2 linked regions of the Rattus norvegicus genome follow. The protein of the gene in region 1 purifies or fractionates together with the protein of each later gene. This does not show direct contact. Links are inferred from orthologs where the notes say so. Each region holds a gene or a part of one and is shown on either strand. Other genes may lie near its edges.

What was found. The genes of interacting proteins can lie anywhere in the genome.
Region 2: the proteins of Axin1 (region 1) and Dvl3 purify together in Homo sapiens (affinity purification with western blotting; 3 studies listed by BioGRID and IntAct, with this or other methods). This does not show direct contact. The link is inferred for Rattus norvegicus from reciprocal best matches to the Homo sapiens genes AXIN1 and DVL3.

The regions. Positions count from the first base shown.
Region 1 is NC_086028.1:15,668,699-15,676,853, forward strand, and holds part of Axin1 (axin-1), read left to right. Parts: intron 1-3,201; 5' UTR 3,202-3,267; coding exon 3,268-4,160; intron 4,161-8,155. UniProt on the Homo sapiens protein: Component of the beta-catenin destruction complex required for regulating CTNNB1 levels through phosphorylation and ubiquitination, and modulating Wnt-signaling.
Region 2 is NC_086029.1:93,882,955-93,891,209, reverse strand, and holds the start of Dvl3 (segment polarity protein dishevelled homolog DVL-3), read left to right. Parts: upstream 1-4,306; 5' UTR 4,307-4,437; coding exon 4,438-4,598; intron 4,599-8,255. UniProt on the Homo sapiens protein: Involved in the signal transduction pathway mediated by multiple Wnt genes.

The sequences.
Region 1 (8,155 bases):
CGGGGACTCGTTTAGGATGTGGGTGAGTTGGTGTTGAGGAGCTGCTGGTGGTAGACTATGTTTGTGTCCTCCGAACTGGGTGTGTGTGTCCTTCCTTCACATCATCCTAATCCCTATGAAAAAGTAAAGTAGGGTCAAGTAAGAACAATCCAAGGAGGGCACTCTATGGTGTGGTTTGACTGGCCAAATACCCACTTGTTCTGGTGTCCATTGCCTTACTTATGCTCCCCCAAAACAAAATACCCCCCTCCCAACCGAAACCCAAAGTGCACATTTTTAGTTGGGCATAAAGAAAGTAGAAAGAAAAAAAAAAAACCTAAGGATTTTTCTCAGCTCATCTTCAAGATAAACGTGTGCATTTTTCCCTTTTACTCTGACAAGTCCATTTACTCACAGCCAGTTTGGAGAACATGGGAGTCTGACTTTACCTGAGAGAGGCAGTACTGGCTGATTTCAGTTTTAGAGCTTCACTTCAGGATCAAGAAAGTATATGAAGCACAGGGATTCTGTTTGATTTTTCAGCAGTATTGACTTGTGCTACATCTTTTGGAGAAACAAAGTGGGTTTTATTGTCCGTTAAGACTTTATTTGAAGGGGTTGGGTATTTAGCTTAGTGGTAGAGCTCTTGCCTAGCAAGCGCAAGGCTCTGGGCTCGGTCCTCAGCTCCCCCCCCCCCCAAAAAAAAGGACTTTATTTGATGGGTGACTGGATTAGATATGAAATGAGAACCCTGACCTTTCAAGAATTTAATCAATGGCTCATTAGTAAAATGCTAGTCATATTATTTTCACATTCAACCTAAATCATAAGCTTATACTCTGTGTGTGTGTGTGTGTGTGTGTGTGTGTGTGTGTCAGACTTGTATATTACCTTTATGGAGTTACTTTATAAGTGTTGGTTGCAGGTTTGAGGCTGGATTTGGTACTATGGGTTTTAGACTTATTGAATTATCATAGCTGCTTTTTGTGTGGTATTTCTGTGTACCTTACCTGTTAGGTGTCCTCTGTGGGAGCCCAGGGATTATTGGAAATTGGGCTGTTTTAATGTTAGTAATTTGTGGGAATGTTGATGTTCAGGGACAGGTGCAGGAGTGCAGGCCCCTCTTTCCTATGATGATATCTTAGATAAGAGCAAGGAGACATGATGGGCTGCTGTGGTGTTTCAGATGTCCAAGATGCTTACCACATGTAGACAGAACTCCCAGAAAGTGACTAAGTTAAGGAGAGGTATAGGAGGTCTGTGAGCAGCAGGAGACCACAGTCATCGGCTGTGACCTTAAGAAACAGGCTGATCCTGCTGAGGCTGAGATTATAGCTTACCTAAGAAGTCATTAGTTGCAGAAATATCATAATTGTGACCCATCTTTTATTTGTACATGCCTCTTCCTTCTAGCCATTAGTAATCTAGTCATCAGCATCGTTAGCAGGTAAAGTGTGTATTGTGTGAGAATGAACAAAAGATGGATTTCATGGAAGTCAGGGCTCAGCACTGTAGAATGGTGACCAAGGACAGCATCTCCCTTTTTGGTTGTTGATGTGTATCATGTTTTTTGTTTTTGTTGTCTCTTGTACCCCAGACTGCCCTCCAACTCTGATGTAGCCAAGAATAACCTTGAATTCCTCATCCTTCTGCCTCTACCTCCACACACTCATTTTTTGCAGTATTGGGGATCTGGGGATGAAGCCCAGGCCTCAAGCTTGCTAGGCAACACTCTGCCATCTGAGCTACATCCCCAGCCCATGACCTTGAACTCTTTGATTTGTTTTATTTTTGAGACAAGGTTTCTCTCTATAGTCCTGGCTGTTCTGGAACTCTGGCTGCTCTGTAGACCAGGTGGGCCTTGAACTCAGAGATTCACGTCTCTTAACCTCCCAAGTTCAGGGACCACCCACCATCTGGCTGACCCTGAACTCTCGATCGAGCCTTGAATTCTCCCTCATTTTTTCAAGTGCTGAGATGATAGATTTGTGTCAATACACTGGGTTTATTTATTTATTGAGACGGGTCCTCATTTTATAACCCAGGCTTGCCTTGACTCAGGATGATCGTCTTCTTGCCTCAGTCTCCTGAGTGCTGAGAGTACAAGCATGAACCATGATGCCTGTCTTTTGTTTTTAGGATTCATTTTGTTCCGGTTACCTGACCCTGACATATGCCTCTCTAGCTCACTTTAGCTGGGACCAATTGGGGCTTTGTTGCTGTCTCCCCTTTGGATATGTTGAGATATATCAGATGTAGCAGAAAGGACCAGAGATCATAGCAGGGTCCAATCCAAATTTGAACAAATTTGCTCCCTTTTGCACACCCCACACGGCAACAAAGGTATAGGTGGTACAGTTTTCATTTGGCGGAGCTAAATCACATTTCTTGTATGCTTCTTTATTGAAAAAGCATACTTGTATTTGTAACTGATTTTTTTTTTCTGTACCTTTTCTGTCTTTCCAAAGTCACCATATGCTATCAGAAGGGAATCTTCTTGTAAGAGAGAAATTAGCAGCCAAGTACAGCTTTCTGAATCTCTAAAGTTGTCTGTGTAGACAATGCATAGATGCCTCTGAGTGTGGACTGTGTTCTTCCATCACTGGTCCAAGGTGTGCAAGGTAGCCAGCCTATGATCACTTGATCTCTTACTTGTTGAGAGCTGGAAGGACATCTTGCTGTGTGGTTGCTCATAAGGCATGCCAAGTATGAAAAATAATAGAATAGACAGAAAATAGAGACTCTGTTAAACTTGCCCTATGCCTGTCTACCTGAGGATCTGTAGTGTGCCTCTTCTTTGTTTCTGAGTGTCACTAGGGCAAGTGTGGTGATTGTCTTCATGGATGAGGGACCAACTGACTGATGTGATGCTGGTGACTGGGGACAGAGGCACCTTTTTCTAGCTTTCTTGTCCTCTTGACATTCATTTCTTTAGCCAGGATGGGTGATCTTCAGGCCTTACCACTGAAGGCATCCTTTGAAGGAGAGATGTCCCCCATGATCCAGACTTTCACTTAGTGTGAGAGGCAGTCTTGTAAAAGTTCCAGAAATTGCCTTAATGATAGAGCAAAAATTGTGGCCAAAATATGTCTCTGCTAGAAGTCTGCACTGAGTCTCTGCTCCAAGTGGGAGTGGGAGGGCATCCCTGCACATCTCAAGAGAACCTCTGGTGTTTCCATGGACCACCTTTCCTAATCCTTGTCCTCTTAATGGTTTTAACAGGAGAGATTGATTCCCTTGGGAGCTGTAAGTACTGAGGTATTAGGGTGCAGCGCTCATTGTTCACTGATGCAGAGTCCCAAAATGAATGTCCAGGAGCAGGGTTTCCCCTTGGACCTCGGAGCAAGTTTCACCGAAGATGCCCCCCGGCCCCCAGTGCCTGGAGAAGAGGGAGAACTGGTATCCACTGATTCGAGGCCTGTCAACCACAGTTTCTGCTCTGGGAAAGGTACCAGCATTAAAAGTGAGACCTCAACAGCCACCCCAAGACGTTCAGATCTGGATCTGGGATATGAGCCTGAGGGCAGTGCCTCCCCCACCCCACCATACTTGAGGTGGGCTGAGTCACTGCATTCCTTACTGGATGACCAAGATGGGATCAGCCTGTTCAGGACTTTCCTGAAGCAGGAGGGCTGTGCTGACCTGCTGGACTTCTGGTTTGCCTGCAGTGGCTTCAGAAAGCTTGAGCCTTGTGACTCAAATGAGGAAAAGAGGCTGAAGCTGGCAAGAGCCATCTACCGAAAGTACATCCTGGATAGCAATGGCATTGTGTCCAGACAAACCAAGCCAGCCACTAAGAGCTTCATAAAGGACTGCGTCATGAAGCAGCAGATCGATCCTGCCATGTTTGACCAGGCACAGACAGAAATCCAGTCCACCATGGAGGAGAACACCTACCCTTCCTTCCTTAAGTCTGACATTTATTTGGAGTACACAAGGACAGGCTCAGAAAGTCCAAAGGTCTGCAGTGACCAGAGCTCAGGGTCCGGGACAGGGAAGGGCATGTCTGGATACTTGCCCACTTTGAATGAAGATGAAGAATGGAAATGTGACCAAGATGCAGATGAGGATGATGGCCGAGACTCTGTCCCCCCCAGCAGGCTCACCCAGAAGCTGCTATTGGAGACTGCTGCCCCGAGGGCCCCCTCAAGTAGACGGTACAACGAAGGCAGAGAGCTCAGGTGAGTTCGGCACAGGGTGTCCATTTTCTCTACACAGCTCAGAGACCTGGCAAAGGAGCGAGGGAAAGGTGTTGGTAACAGGTGGCCTTGTTTTTAACCCCAGCTGAGATCTCTGCTGCTGCTGCTGCTGCTGCTGCTGCTGCTGCTGCTGAATTATAGTTTTATTTCCTACTTAGATACTTCATACTTGTTATTAGATACCTTCTTATATTTTGTGGCATTGAGAACGCAACAAACAAGACTTGCCAGGTGTAATCCCACCTACTTGGGAAGCTGAGGTAGGAGAATCGAAAAATTGTGTGTCATTCTGGGCAACTTGTAGAGATTCAAAATGAAAAAGAGTAAAGGCTTAGGAGAGTTCTTGCATAGCATGGAGGAAACTCTTTGAGTTCCCTCTTTAGTAACACGTGTACTACTAAATATAGGGCTTTGTGAATTATAAGCATATGGCTTGTGAATTATTAGAAGCGTGAGAATTCTTAGAAGCTATAATGGTTTGGTTTGTTTTTTTTTTTAAAGATTTATTTATTCATTATATATAAGTACACTGTAGTTATCTTCAAACATACCAGAAAAGGGCATCAGATCCCATTACAGATGGTTGTGAGTCACCATGTGGTTGCTGGGATTTGAACTCAGAACCTCTGGAAGAGCAATCAGTGCTCTTTTTTTTTTTTTTTTTTTGGGTTCTTTTTTTTTTTTTTTCGGAGCTGGGGACCGAACCCAGGGCCTTGCGCTTCCTAGGCAAGCGCTCTACCACTGAGCTAAATCCCCAACCCCGCAATCAGTGCTCTTAACCACTGAGCTATCTCTCTAACCCAGAAGTCATAATGTTTAAACTTTACCATTTAGCACAAAATTCATGTCTTCTTGCATAGAAGGATCTTAACCCTTAATAATGAGAGGGAAATACATTCAAATACATAGACAATTATAATTACTTTATTTTTATTTTAGATTCATTTAGTTTTTTTATGGGGATGAGTGTTTTGTATGTATGTATGTGCATATGTATGTGCACCATGTATGTGCCTGCTGCCCAGAAGGGGGTGCCAGATCCCCTGAGACTGGAGTTAACAGATGGTTGTGAGCCACCACATAGGTGCTGGTAATCAACTCATGCCCTCTATAAGAACAACAAATACTTTTAACTTTTCTTTTTCTTTCTTTTTTTTTTTTTTTTCAGAGCTGGGGACCGAACTCAGGGCCTTGCGCTTGCTAGGCAAGTGCTCTACCACTGAGCTAAATCCCCAACCCCCATACTTTTAACTTTTAACCCATCATTCCACTCCCTTCCACATCTTGCTAATTTTTTAGTCAGTACTTTGGATTCTTTCTGGAGGATGAGACAGTAGTGGGGCAGTTTAGTCTGTGTAGACAGTTGTTGGAGGGTTCAGAAACTCCTGATGGCTGTGCTTGGATTTCTAGAATTGGACCTTTTCCCTCCATGGCGTGATCTGCTGAAGGGAGTTCTGATTGTGTGTTCTGATGTATGCAACTTGAGCAGCATGATGGTGCTCTCCAGAAGAGAGCATAGCTTTGAAACTTGTTTCTTCACCTTTCTCTATAAAAAAAAAGGTATTTTTACACTTATTTGTGGTGCGTGTGTGTGGTGTGTGTGTGTGTCCATCCACCTTATATGTGGATGGGGGAGGCACTGACTTCAGGCTCAGGTGGCTAATATGTGGTAAGAGAAACTCCTTATAGGGGGCATTTTTAATCCTGTGAGTTCTGTGGATTGAATGTGGTCATTAGGCTTGGTGACAGACCCCTTTCCCTGCTGAACTGTCTTATCAGACCAAGCGTTGCTGTTTTTTAAATTCAGAATCATTGTGGTTACAGGAGGCTGGATTGGCTGGATTGGTACTTACTGCACTTATGAGCAGAGTTTGCGTTTTTTTGCTTATTTCCCTAGAACTGATGATTAGATACCGAATTTACTATTGTTCCCAACCTGAAAACCATTTCCAGATGTTGAGGTAATTGTTGTTTAGAACCAGGACTGAGCTGGGTGTGGTGGCTCAGGGATTAAGTCAAGTGGGTTCTCAAGAAAGGAGGTTCATTGAATTCTGAAGAAAAGCAGTAGTCAGATGTGTTGGCACACACTTTTAATCCTAACTCTCAGGGAAGCAGAGGCAGGGGGATCTCTGAGTTTACTGAGCTAGTTGCAGGACAGCCAGGGCTACACAAGAAGTCCTGGGGTGTTGGGGGCAGTTTGTACATGGACACAGACCATGGCTGTTCTTTAAGTTTACTATGAACACAAAGAAATTAAAATTGGTCACTTTTACAAAGCCACAGAATTAACACTTCTTTAGTTCAAGAGACACAGTTCAATATGTACTGTTTTTATTCATTGTCATTAGCCAAGTGATATTTACTTAGCAAGATTTTAAAGGACAATTTGTTTTGTTTTGGAGACAAGTTCTTATTCATCCCAGGTAGGCCTCAAAAATTCCCTATGTAACTGAGAATGACTTGAGCTTCTCCTGCCTCAACCTCTAGAATCCTGGGCACAGGCATGTGCCAACAGTTTACGCAGTGCTGAAGATTAAACTGGAAGCAGTGGATGTTGACAGACATGTGACCAATTGAACTACATTCTCAGTATGTTCAGTTTTTGAAACAAAGTCTTTTAGAGCCCTTTAATGTGCTGTATAGCTGAGGATGACCTTGAATTGCTTCTGTGCTGAGGTTACAGGCAGGTTCCATCACACCTCATTTCCAACATGTCTTTTGTTGGTATTTTTTCATGTTTTTGTTTTCAATGTTAGTGATTTTATTTAAGACCTCATGCATTAGAGGCAAGTGCTTACCAGTAATTTACACCCGCCCACCAACTTTCATATTTGAATACATTCTGCGTTTCATGCAGTGGGCTGTAATTAGGAAGCACTAGATTGGGAATAAGAAAATCCAGTCTAGGGGGTTGGGGATTTAGCTCAGCGGTAGAGCGCTTGCCTAGCAAGTGCAAGGCCCTGGGTTCGGTCCCCAACTCCAAAAAAAAAAAGAAAGAAAAAAAGAAAAAAAAAGAAAATCCAGTCTACTGGGATTAATTTTTGACTTAGTTGGCTAGTGTTTCATGTGCTTTGATCAGAAATTCAACACTTTTCTTTTTCTTCTTCCTCCTCTTCCTCCTCTTCCTCCTCCTCTTCCTCCTCTTCCTCTTCCTTTTTTGTTTTTGAGACAGGGTCTCACTATTTAGCTCTGGCAAATTTAGTACTCTTTGTAGACCAGGCAGGTCTCAAACCCTCAGAGATTCCTCTTCTTCTTTTGCCTCATGATTACCAGGACTAAAGTTCGTGTGCCACATCTGACTAGCACTTTTCTTTATAGTTTAATGAACCTGCTTTTTTTTTGACAACCCACTTGGGGTCCCTTGTGGAGGTGGCTACCTCTGTGAACATATGCTCTTAACTACCCTTAATTACAAGACTTTCCCACACCAGTGAAGGAAGGCTCTTTACTGGCTCATAGTAGGGAACAATTTTGCTGCTATGTCCTGCCAGTCCTTGAATGCTTAGAGCATTCTGAACTTGTGGGTCGTGACCCCTTTGGGGGTTGTCAAGTGACCTCTTCATAGGGGTCACCTAAGACCATTGAAAAATACAGCTATTTGCATTATGATTCATAAGAGTAGCAAGATTACAGTTATGAAGGAGCAGCAAATATAATTTTACGGTTGGAGCCAATACAGCATGAGGTTGCAGGTTAGGATGATTGAGATCCACAGACTTAGAGCCTGATGATGTGCTGTTACACTTAAGCCAAGTAGGGCCATCCAGTAAGGAAAGTGGGGAACTTTACCCAGACAGCATGACTGTTCCCCAGTAGTGGTACAGGTAATGGGGGAGGGTCCTCTAAAAGAAGATTGGGGCTGATAGGAATTGGGAAAAGATAAGTTGATACTGAATAGGTGACTAGCAAGTGTTCACTAGGAAGGAGGCCCTGGAACTAAGTCTTCCTGGGTGTTAGCTTTACAGTGAATGGCATGT
Region 2 (8,255 bases), on another chromosome or scaffold:
AGTCAGACAAATATTAATTGAATCTTTGGCTTTTGAAAATGCTATTTCCTAATGCAAAAGGCTAATTAGGCCTTTAAAGGCAAGATAGCACCAATAGATGAGGGGACTACAAATACAGCTGATATTGGATCTCATGTTTATGATGCTCCTCTGTTAGAAGAAGTCATTTCTAAGTTTTAAGAAAAATCAAAATGTCAGATGTTTTAATTGTGGTCAACAAGGACATCTGAAAAGGGATTGTAGACAAAGCATACCTAGAAACAATATTTTTTCAAGAGAAGTACAAAAAGGAGGCTCCAGCTTCCGGAGTATGCAAAAGATGTGGCAATGGCTGGCATCGGAATAATGAGTGCAGATCAGCAAGGGACAGGCAAGGTAATCCTTTGCCAATAAGAACCCACCCCCCATAGGCCCCAATATCAAAGTTAATTGAGTCATTCCCTGTCAGCTTTGGAGAAACTCATTCACAGAGCAATCCAAAGATTTAATGTCTGTTGTTAGAAAGAACACGGCTCTGGATAAAATCAAGGACAGAATAGCTTCTGTAGCTAAAACAAGAAATTCAGGGCACCAGACCAGAAAATAAGTATTTTAGCAAACTGCTATAAATGACCAGAGACCAAGGTTTAGTTGACTAGAGGGACAGATGGAACAGTCACTTCACCAAAATCTTGGGATCCACATTGGCCTCTTCAGGAGCTAAGTATTCATCTAAGTATTTATCTCCGGTAAAACAAAGTTCAAGATGGGTCAAGTGTATAGGACCAGTAGACAGATAGGAAAATTAAAGTCATATGTGGCTAAAATAGCCATAAATTTATAGGGGATATGACTTGTTGCAGCAATGGAAAACAGATTAACATTCCTCCAATCTCAGAAACAAACCATAAAATTAATAATGCTTCTAAAAATATATTAAAAGACATTTTCAAGAACAGTCACAGACCATTTAGGTTGTCCATAAGCAGGACATAATAGCTGTTGGTCTTTCAAAGGTACCAACCGCCTTACCTTTAAAATGACTAATTGACAAACCTGTGTGGGTGGAACAATGGCCTTTGACATCAGAAAAATTATAGGACCACTGTCCTAGTAGGACAACTGTCATAAAGGGAGAGAGTTGGAATATAACGAGTTTCTGAAGTATACTTGTTTTATTCTCTCCGAACATGCATAAATAACAATGTATTGGATAGGTAAAATCTGAAATATTGGATAAGTGAATAGCTAGAAAGGTTGTAATATAGGAAATCTTATAATAAAGTGAAATTGTCAAAAAATGAAATTAATAATGGTGAAAAGGATACAAAGTCAATCCAGAGGAAGTGAACATAGGATTATTATGGATAGAGAGACACATAGAAAGTAGAAGGTGAGGGACATGCAGTTTGAAAGCTTGAGACTTCATGAGAGGGGCATTACTTCTAGGATGTCAGCCGAGGAAGAAGGTCAGCTGTGCGCTTTCTCTGCCTCTCTGAGCTAGTAGGCTTTTGCCTTAGTATCTGGCTCCCAAGTCTTCACTGGTAAAATTGAACAATTGTGATTTTTGTTTAAAAAAATAAACAACAACAAATATCTTCAAATTCCTGAAGGAAAATTATTTTCAATTTTATTTTTTCCAATGTGTGTGTGTGTGTGTGTGTGTGTGTGTGTGTGTGTGTGTGTGTGTGTGTAAGTGTTAGGGAATACACAAGCGCCAGCATGCCTATAGAGGTCTTGCAGGAGGTCTCCTTCCACCATGTGGATCCTGAGGATCAAGCTCAGGCTGTCAGGCCACTGCCCCAACCTCAACCTCAGTCATATTCTAGACATACAACTCAAACACAACCTGGGCCTTAGCAGCAGAAATCATGCCCGCATCCACAGATCCAATAAACAAACAAACAAACAAACAAACAAACAAATTCCTTCCTAGGTGTGGTGGCAGGACTTCCAGTTTAAGACCAGCCTGAGCGTCTTGTATTGTCAGCCACAGACTCTGTCTCAGAAAACCAGAACCAAAACCATCTTTTTCATTCTTGCTTTCAAAGAGACCTGTCAAAGGATGCAATACGCCTTACTAAACTAAGAATAAAGTATTCAAGAAAACAGGTCCAGCTTGGTGGAGAAGTAAAGAAAATTCTGGGGATGCAGAGAAGTCCTGGGTGACAGCTGGATTGATAGAGACAGCAAGCAGTGTTCACCGGAGCAAACGAAGGGAAGTTCCAGGAACAGGCAAAGCTGGACTACCTCATAGGTTGGACTGGATGAACAAAATGTGTCCTGAAAAACCACTGGAATGTTTGCAAAGAATCATTGGTGCTTACATTTTTAAAAAATAAAAACAACCAAAGAACAGTAAAAGAAGCAAGTAATATAACAACTTTAGCAGTATACATTGACTGATAGTTAAAATGCTGTCGATATTAAGTACTCTATTTAACAAGCATGGTTTCAATATTTTAATATATTTTATATATCTATTCATTTAATGTATGTGAGCACACTACAGCTGTCTTCAGACACACCAGAAGAGGGCATCTGATCTCATTACAGATGGTTGTGAGCCACCATGTGGTTGCTGGGATTTGAACTCAGGACCTCTGGAAGAGCAGACAGTGCTCTTAACCACTGAGCCATCTCTCCAGTCCGGTTTCAATATTTTAAGAAAGTAAAAGTGGAAAGTCAATAGCAATGTCTAGAATGTGTAAATCAAGAAATAAGGCAGGCATCACATGACTTTAACCCCAGCTGCTCCAGGAGTACAGAGGCAGGAGAGTAGAAAGTTCAAGGTCATCCTGGACTCTTTACTTTTTAATATTAAGGTTGTAGAAACAGCTCAACATTTAAGAGGGCTTGATGTTCTTACAGAGGCCCTGAGTTCAGTTTCCACCATCTCGGCAGGTGGATCACAGCTTCCTGTGACTCTAATTCCAAGGGACTGACATCCTCCTCCGATCACCTCAGATACCCAAAATCTGCACGGGTAAAAATAAACCTTGAAAAGTCTTAATGCATTTTAGTTATGCACAGACATTACTTGGAGAAAAAGATAAATGAAGGATATAAACTGAAAAGATATAACTACTACTGATTGCTTTCTGCCTATAATAAAAATTTGGTTTTGAAGTAACAAGAAGTCTAGAGAAGTAGGTGTCAGATTATAAAGGACCTCGTGTATCATGTTGAGGGTATATGAAAGGCATATTGGGTAATGTGAAGGTTTCTGAGCAGAAGAGGTGATTAAAATGGGTCCTGAAATGCAGGGATGTAATCCCAGAACTCAGAAGCCTGAGGCAGGAGAATTGCCAGGAGTTTTGAAGCCACTCCTGACATACATTGTTACAGCTGAGAAGCTGAACCACCAACTGACTGACTATACCTAGTTTTTAACATCTACTGTCCCAATCATCGATCATGTATGTCTACGCTTTCTGTTTTTTGTTTTTGTTTTTTTTTTTTTACTTGGGGATCAGGGTGGGAGTTGAGACAGAGTTTGTCTGTGTAGCCCTGGCAGTCCTGGAACTCGCTCTGTAGACTGGCTGGCCTCCAACTCAAAGATCTGCCTGCCTCCCCAGTGTTCAGACTAAAGTCATTTGCTACCACACCTGACTGCTTGCTCTTTTTCTTAGCTCGCATTTTTTCTTTTCTTTTTCTTTCTTTTTTCTTTTTTTAGAGAGAGAGACAGGACTTTTCTACCTAGTCCTGCTGGGGTCTTGAGCTCTCTGTAGGCCAGGCTTGGCTTGAACTCACAAAAAGCCACCCGCCTCTCGTTCCCGAGTGCCGGGATTAAAGGCAAGCACCACCACACCCGCCAATCCATTACTCAAACTACTTGCTCATAGAGACGCTGAGATTACAGGGATAAAAATTTAAACTTGCTCAGCCCTCAAGGAACTCAGTACAGTCCGGTCACAGCAACTGTGCTGTCAGCAAAATCCAGAGATCCGAGTCGAAGCGACCCCCCTCCAGGGAACCAGTTAGGTCTTCAAATCTATTTTCTTCCGCAGTAGGTGACACTTATCTTCCATCCCTCCCCTCCAGCCAGGGAGCCGGCCCACCGTTCCCCTGGGCCCACCGGGGTGAGACTTCCAGGTCCAGCAGCCTGATCCAGGAGCACAAGGAAGCGAGCGCCGCCCCGCGGGTGGGCGGGCAGTCTGCGGCAAGCAGCCAGCGCCGCTCGGCGGCGGGGCGGAGCCGCGCTGGGCTCGGCCCAGAGCCGGGAGGGCCGAGGCCACCGGAAGAGTCGCGGTCGCCAGCCGAGCGCTGTGAGTGGGGAGCGGAAGCGGTGGCGGGCGGCGCTGGGACCCGGGAGCGGCCGGAGAACAAGGGAGCTGGCGCCCCGGCCGGCGGCTGAGCGGGGCTAAGCAGCGGGCCTCGCCGAGCGCCGAGCTCTGTCGGAGAGGCCCGGCCCCGCTGCCCAAGCAGGCCGCACGCCGCGGGGCCGAGGCCGGAGCCATGGGCGAGACTAAGATCATCTACCACTTGGACGGCCAGGAGACGCCGTACCTAGTGAAGCTGCCCCTGCCCGCCGAGCGCGTCACCTTGGCGGACTTTAAGGGCGTTTTGCAGCGGCCCAGCTATAAGTTCTTCTTCAAGTCTATGGACGACGATTTTGGGTGAGGATGGCCCCCGCCCCGCCTCCCGGGAGCTCGGGTCGCTCCGCTGCTAGGGGCCAACGCGGCCAGTTCCGACTCCCCTCGCTGCACTGGTTTCTAACCCCGCTTCCAGCAAGGAGCGACTCGGTGACTTGGGACCCTCTTGACTTTGAGGGACTCCCAGTCATCTCTTGGAGGCCTTGCCTCCCCCACCCCACCCCCCAGCCCAGCGGGACGTCCCTCCCTAAGCAATTGGTTCCTATCATTTAAGCCCCTTCACCTCCCCACGGTCCAGCGGCCCGCCGTAGACATACATCCTTTCCACTCCAAAACCAGAGTTCTCAGTCCTTCCAGGTGCCACCTTTTAAGCATAGAGTTGGAGTTAAACTGACACTCGGTCTGCCTTCCCAGTCCTCTGAGCTCTGCAACTCAGATCCTTATTTGGAGTGTGCTCTATCTAGGGCTGTAGCTGGTGGGACTTGGAACTGGAGAAGGAGGAATTGGGGGCTGTTCTGCCAGGCTGGATGCTGGACCTGATGTTTGTCGAGTAGATTCTCCTCTCTCCTGGGCTGATGGGGTGTTGCCTGGCCCGGAGAAGGAGTTTTCACTAATCAGGTGCTGGGGCCTTTTCTTTCCTGATGGTGTTCCCAGGGGAGATGCTACATAGAGCTTCAGAGCCTGGATGGGAAAGCCTGGAAGGGCCTGTTGGTGTTCTCTTGTCTTCCCCTTCCTACCCAGCTGCAGGGCTTTTGATGGGCAATTTGGAAGATGGGACTGCCCCTTTAAGAGAGGTTGGAATGTTGGAGCCTGAGGGTTCTGTAGCAGCTGGCCTGAGAGGGGACACACACACACACACACACACACACACACACACCTATCCAAGGGGCTGAGGCTTGCCTGCATTAACTGGACAGCGGACTTATAGGCTATGGAGCAAACACACACACACACACACACACACACACACACATACACACACACACACACCCTACCCCACCCCTCTCTGGGCCCTCCAAGGCCTGAAGGTCCCTCTGATGCACTTGCCTGAGGCTTGCACTCTGCTTGCAGCTGAGGCCCCAGAGCTGGGTGAGGGGAGATATTCTCTCTAGTGTACATTAGTCTGGCTTCCCTCCTAAGCCCTGCCCTCCAAGCCCCAGGAGGCAAGCACCTTCTGTCTCCTTCTGGGCTATTTGTCATTTTCTGCCCTGGAACTCGACATTTGATGAGCTCTTAAAAGTGTGTGTGTGTGTGCATGTGTGTGTGAGTGTGTGTGTGTGTGAGTGTGTGTGTGTGTGTGTGTGAGTGTGTGTGTGTGTGTGAGTGTGGACAGTGGAGAATTGATCTGACTATTGCTAAATCTGTTCTTGCCCTGGGATGAGACTCTTGTGTGTGGTGATGATTGTCTGGCTGTAGTTTAGAGTAGGAAGACCTGGTTGAAAGACCCTGAAAATGATGTATCTGGAAGAACTGAGGATAGGAGGTGAGTGTCTCAACCTGGCATGAGAGGAATAAGAAGAGGGTCTTTCTTATTATTCGAAGGAGCTGGGATAATATTTCAGGATATGCTAGGCCAGATGTCTTGAGGGATTAGAATAGTCTTGTATCTCCACCCCCACTTGCCTCTGCCTCCCAAGCAGACCACTCTGAGCTGCTTCCTGCTTTCCTGAGGTTGTCGTGGGAGCAGACCTAACTACAATTATAAGAGGGCTCCCATTGCATCTGCTCACTGTTGGGAAATATTTTTCTTTAAATCAACTATTGAACTAAGCAACATTTATCATGTGCCACTTTGAAGCATTTTGTATTTACCTGTGGTCCCTTTGCAAAATATTCATTGTCTGTTCTATCAGGGTTGAGAACAATGCTAAGAATGAAGTGGGTGTGATTATTTGGCTTCTTCCTCCCAAACTCCAAGAATAAATGAGCAAAAGACCCAGCAAGGCTATCCTTTTCAAGTTAGGACAGCAGAGGATCCTGTTGACAGTTTATTTCATTTTTTATTTTACAAGTGCATCATATGATACAGTCTGCCTGATAGTGATATATTATTACTTGTACATCTTGCATCTTTGAGTCCTCATACCAGCCTATGAAATAGGCACTAATTTCCCACTTTGAAAATTAGGCTAGAATGTTAAAGGCCTAAATAAAGCTGACCCTAGATCACACAGCTAGTAAATGACAGAATTTGTTTGGATATGGGGGACTCTCACTCCAAAATCTAAAGTCTGGGTCACACATTGTAGATGTGTGTGTGTGTGTGTGTGTGTGTGTGTGTGTGTGTGTGTGTGTGTGCGCGCATGAGTGTGTGAGTGTTTATGTGTGTGTATGGGTGTCAGAGAGTGTGCATGAGTGTGTGTATATGTGTGTGTGAGTGAGTGTTGTGTGTATGGGTGTCAGAGAGTGTGTGTGTGTGTGTGTGTCACAGTAGTGAGGAATACTGTGCAAATGGCCATAGATTATAGACTTTTCTCTCCAGAGAATAGCAAGCCTTGGCAAACTGGGGACATAACATGCACCTCAGCCAGCCTAGGCCAGTGACCCCTGTTGACAAGAGAGAAAGCATGTCAGAGGAGGAAGCAAGCTGCACCTCAACCTGAGGATTCCCCAACTCTCACCTGGTCTCCAAAAATATTTGTCAAGTGCAGGATACACTTAGCTTTATTAAATTACTTGGGAGCGTCAGGGACATGGCTTAGTACATAAACCCATGGGCCACCAAGCCTGGTCTATCCTCAGGACCCATAGAGTGGAAGGGAAAAAAGCAACTTCTGAAAGTTGTCCTCTGACCTCCATACATATGTACACATGCATACACACATACACACACCACACACACATACGAATGCTAAAATGTAATAAAGTTCTTTTAAAAGAAAAGACATAGTTAATGTGAGAGTGTAATCTTACTGAAAGTTGGAGAGTCAGTAAGTAGTTTTTATTATATTCCTGGACCATACCAGGCATCTAGGAATCGCATTTACCAGGATGAGACAAAGGTTGGCTAAGTTAAATGATATCTTTAAGGTGGGAGAGCTTCAACGTAATAGACTTGGGAGTTGAGCATGTGCTTATTTGACTCAGTAAAGAGGAGAAGACAGTTCTGGTGAGACTGCCACGGAGCCCGGATGGCCAAGCCCTACAGTGGGAGGTTACATCTGAGGCTCCTCCAAGGCTACTGAAGACTAGGTGATCATTGAGCAGAGACTTGTAGAGCATTGGCGACCTGTAGTATGGAGTGTGTGTGTGCGTGTGCATGTGTGTGTGTGTGTGTATGTGTGTGTGTATGTGTGTGTATGTATGTGTGTGAGTGTGTATGTATGTGTGTATGTGTGGTGTGTGTATGTGTGTGTACGTGTGTGTGAGTGTGTATGTGTGTGTGTATGGTGTGTATGTTTGTGTGAGTGTGTATGTGTGTATGTGTGTGAGTGTGTATGTGTGTGAGTGTGTATGTGTGTGTATGGCGTGTATGTGTGTGTGAGTGTGTATGTGTGTGTATGTGTATGGTGTGTATGTGTGTGTATGTGTGTGTGAGTGTGTATGTGTGTGTGAGTGTGTATGTGTGCGTGGTGTGTATGTGTGTGTATGTGTGTGTATGTGTGTATATGTGTGTGTATGTGTGAGTGTGTGTATATGTGTGTGTGTATGTGTGCATGTGAATATGTGTATGTGTGAGTG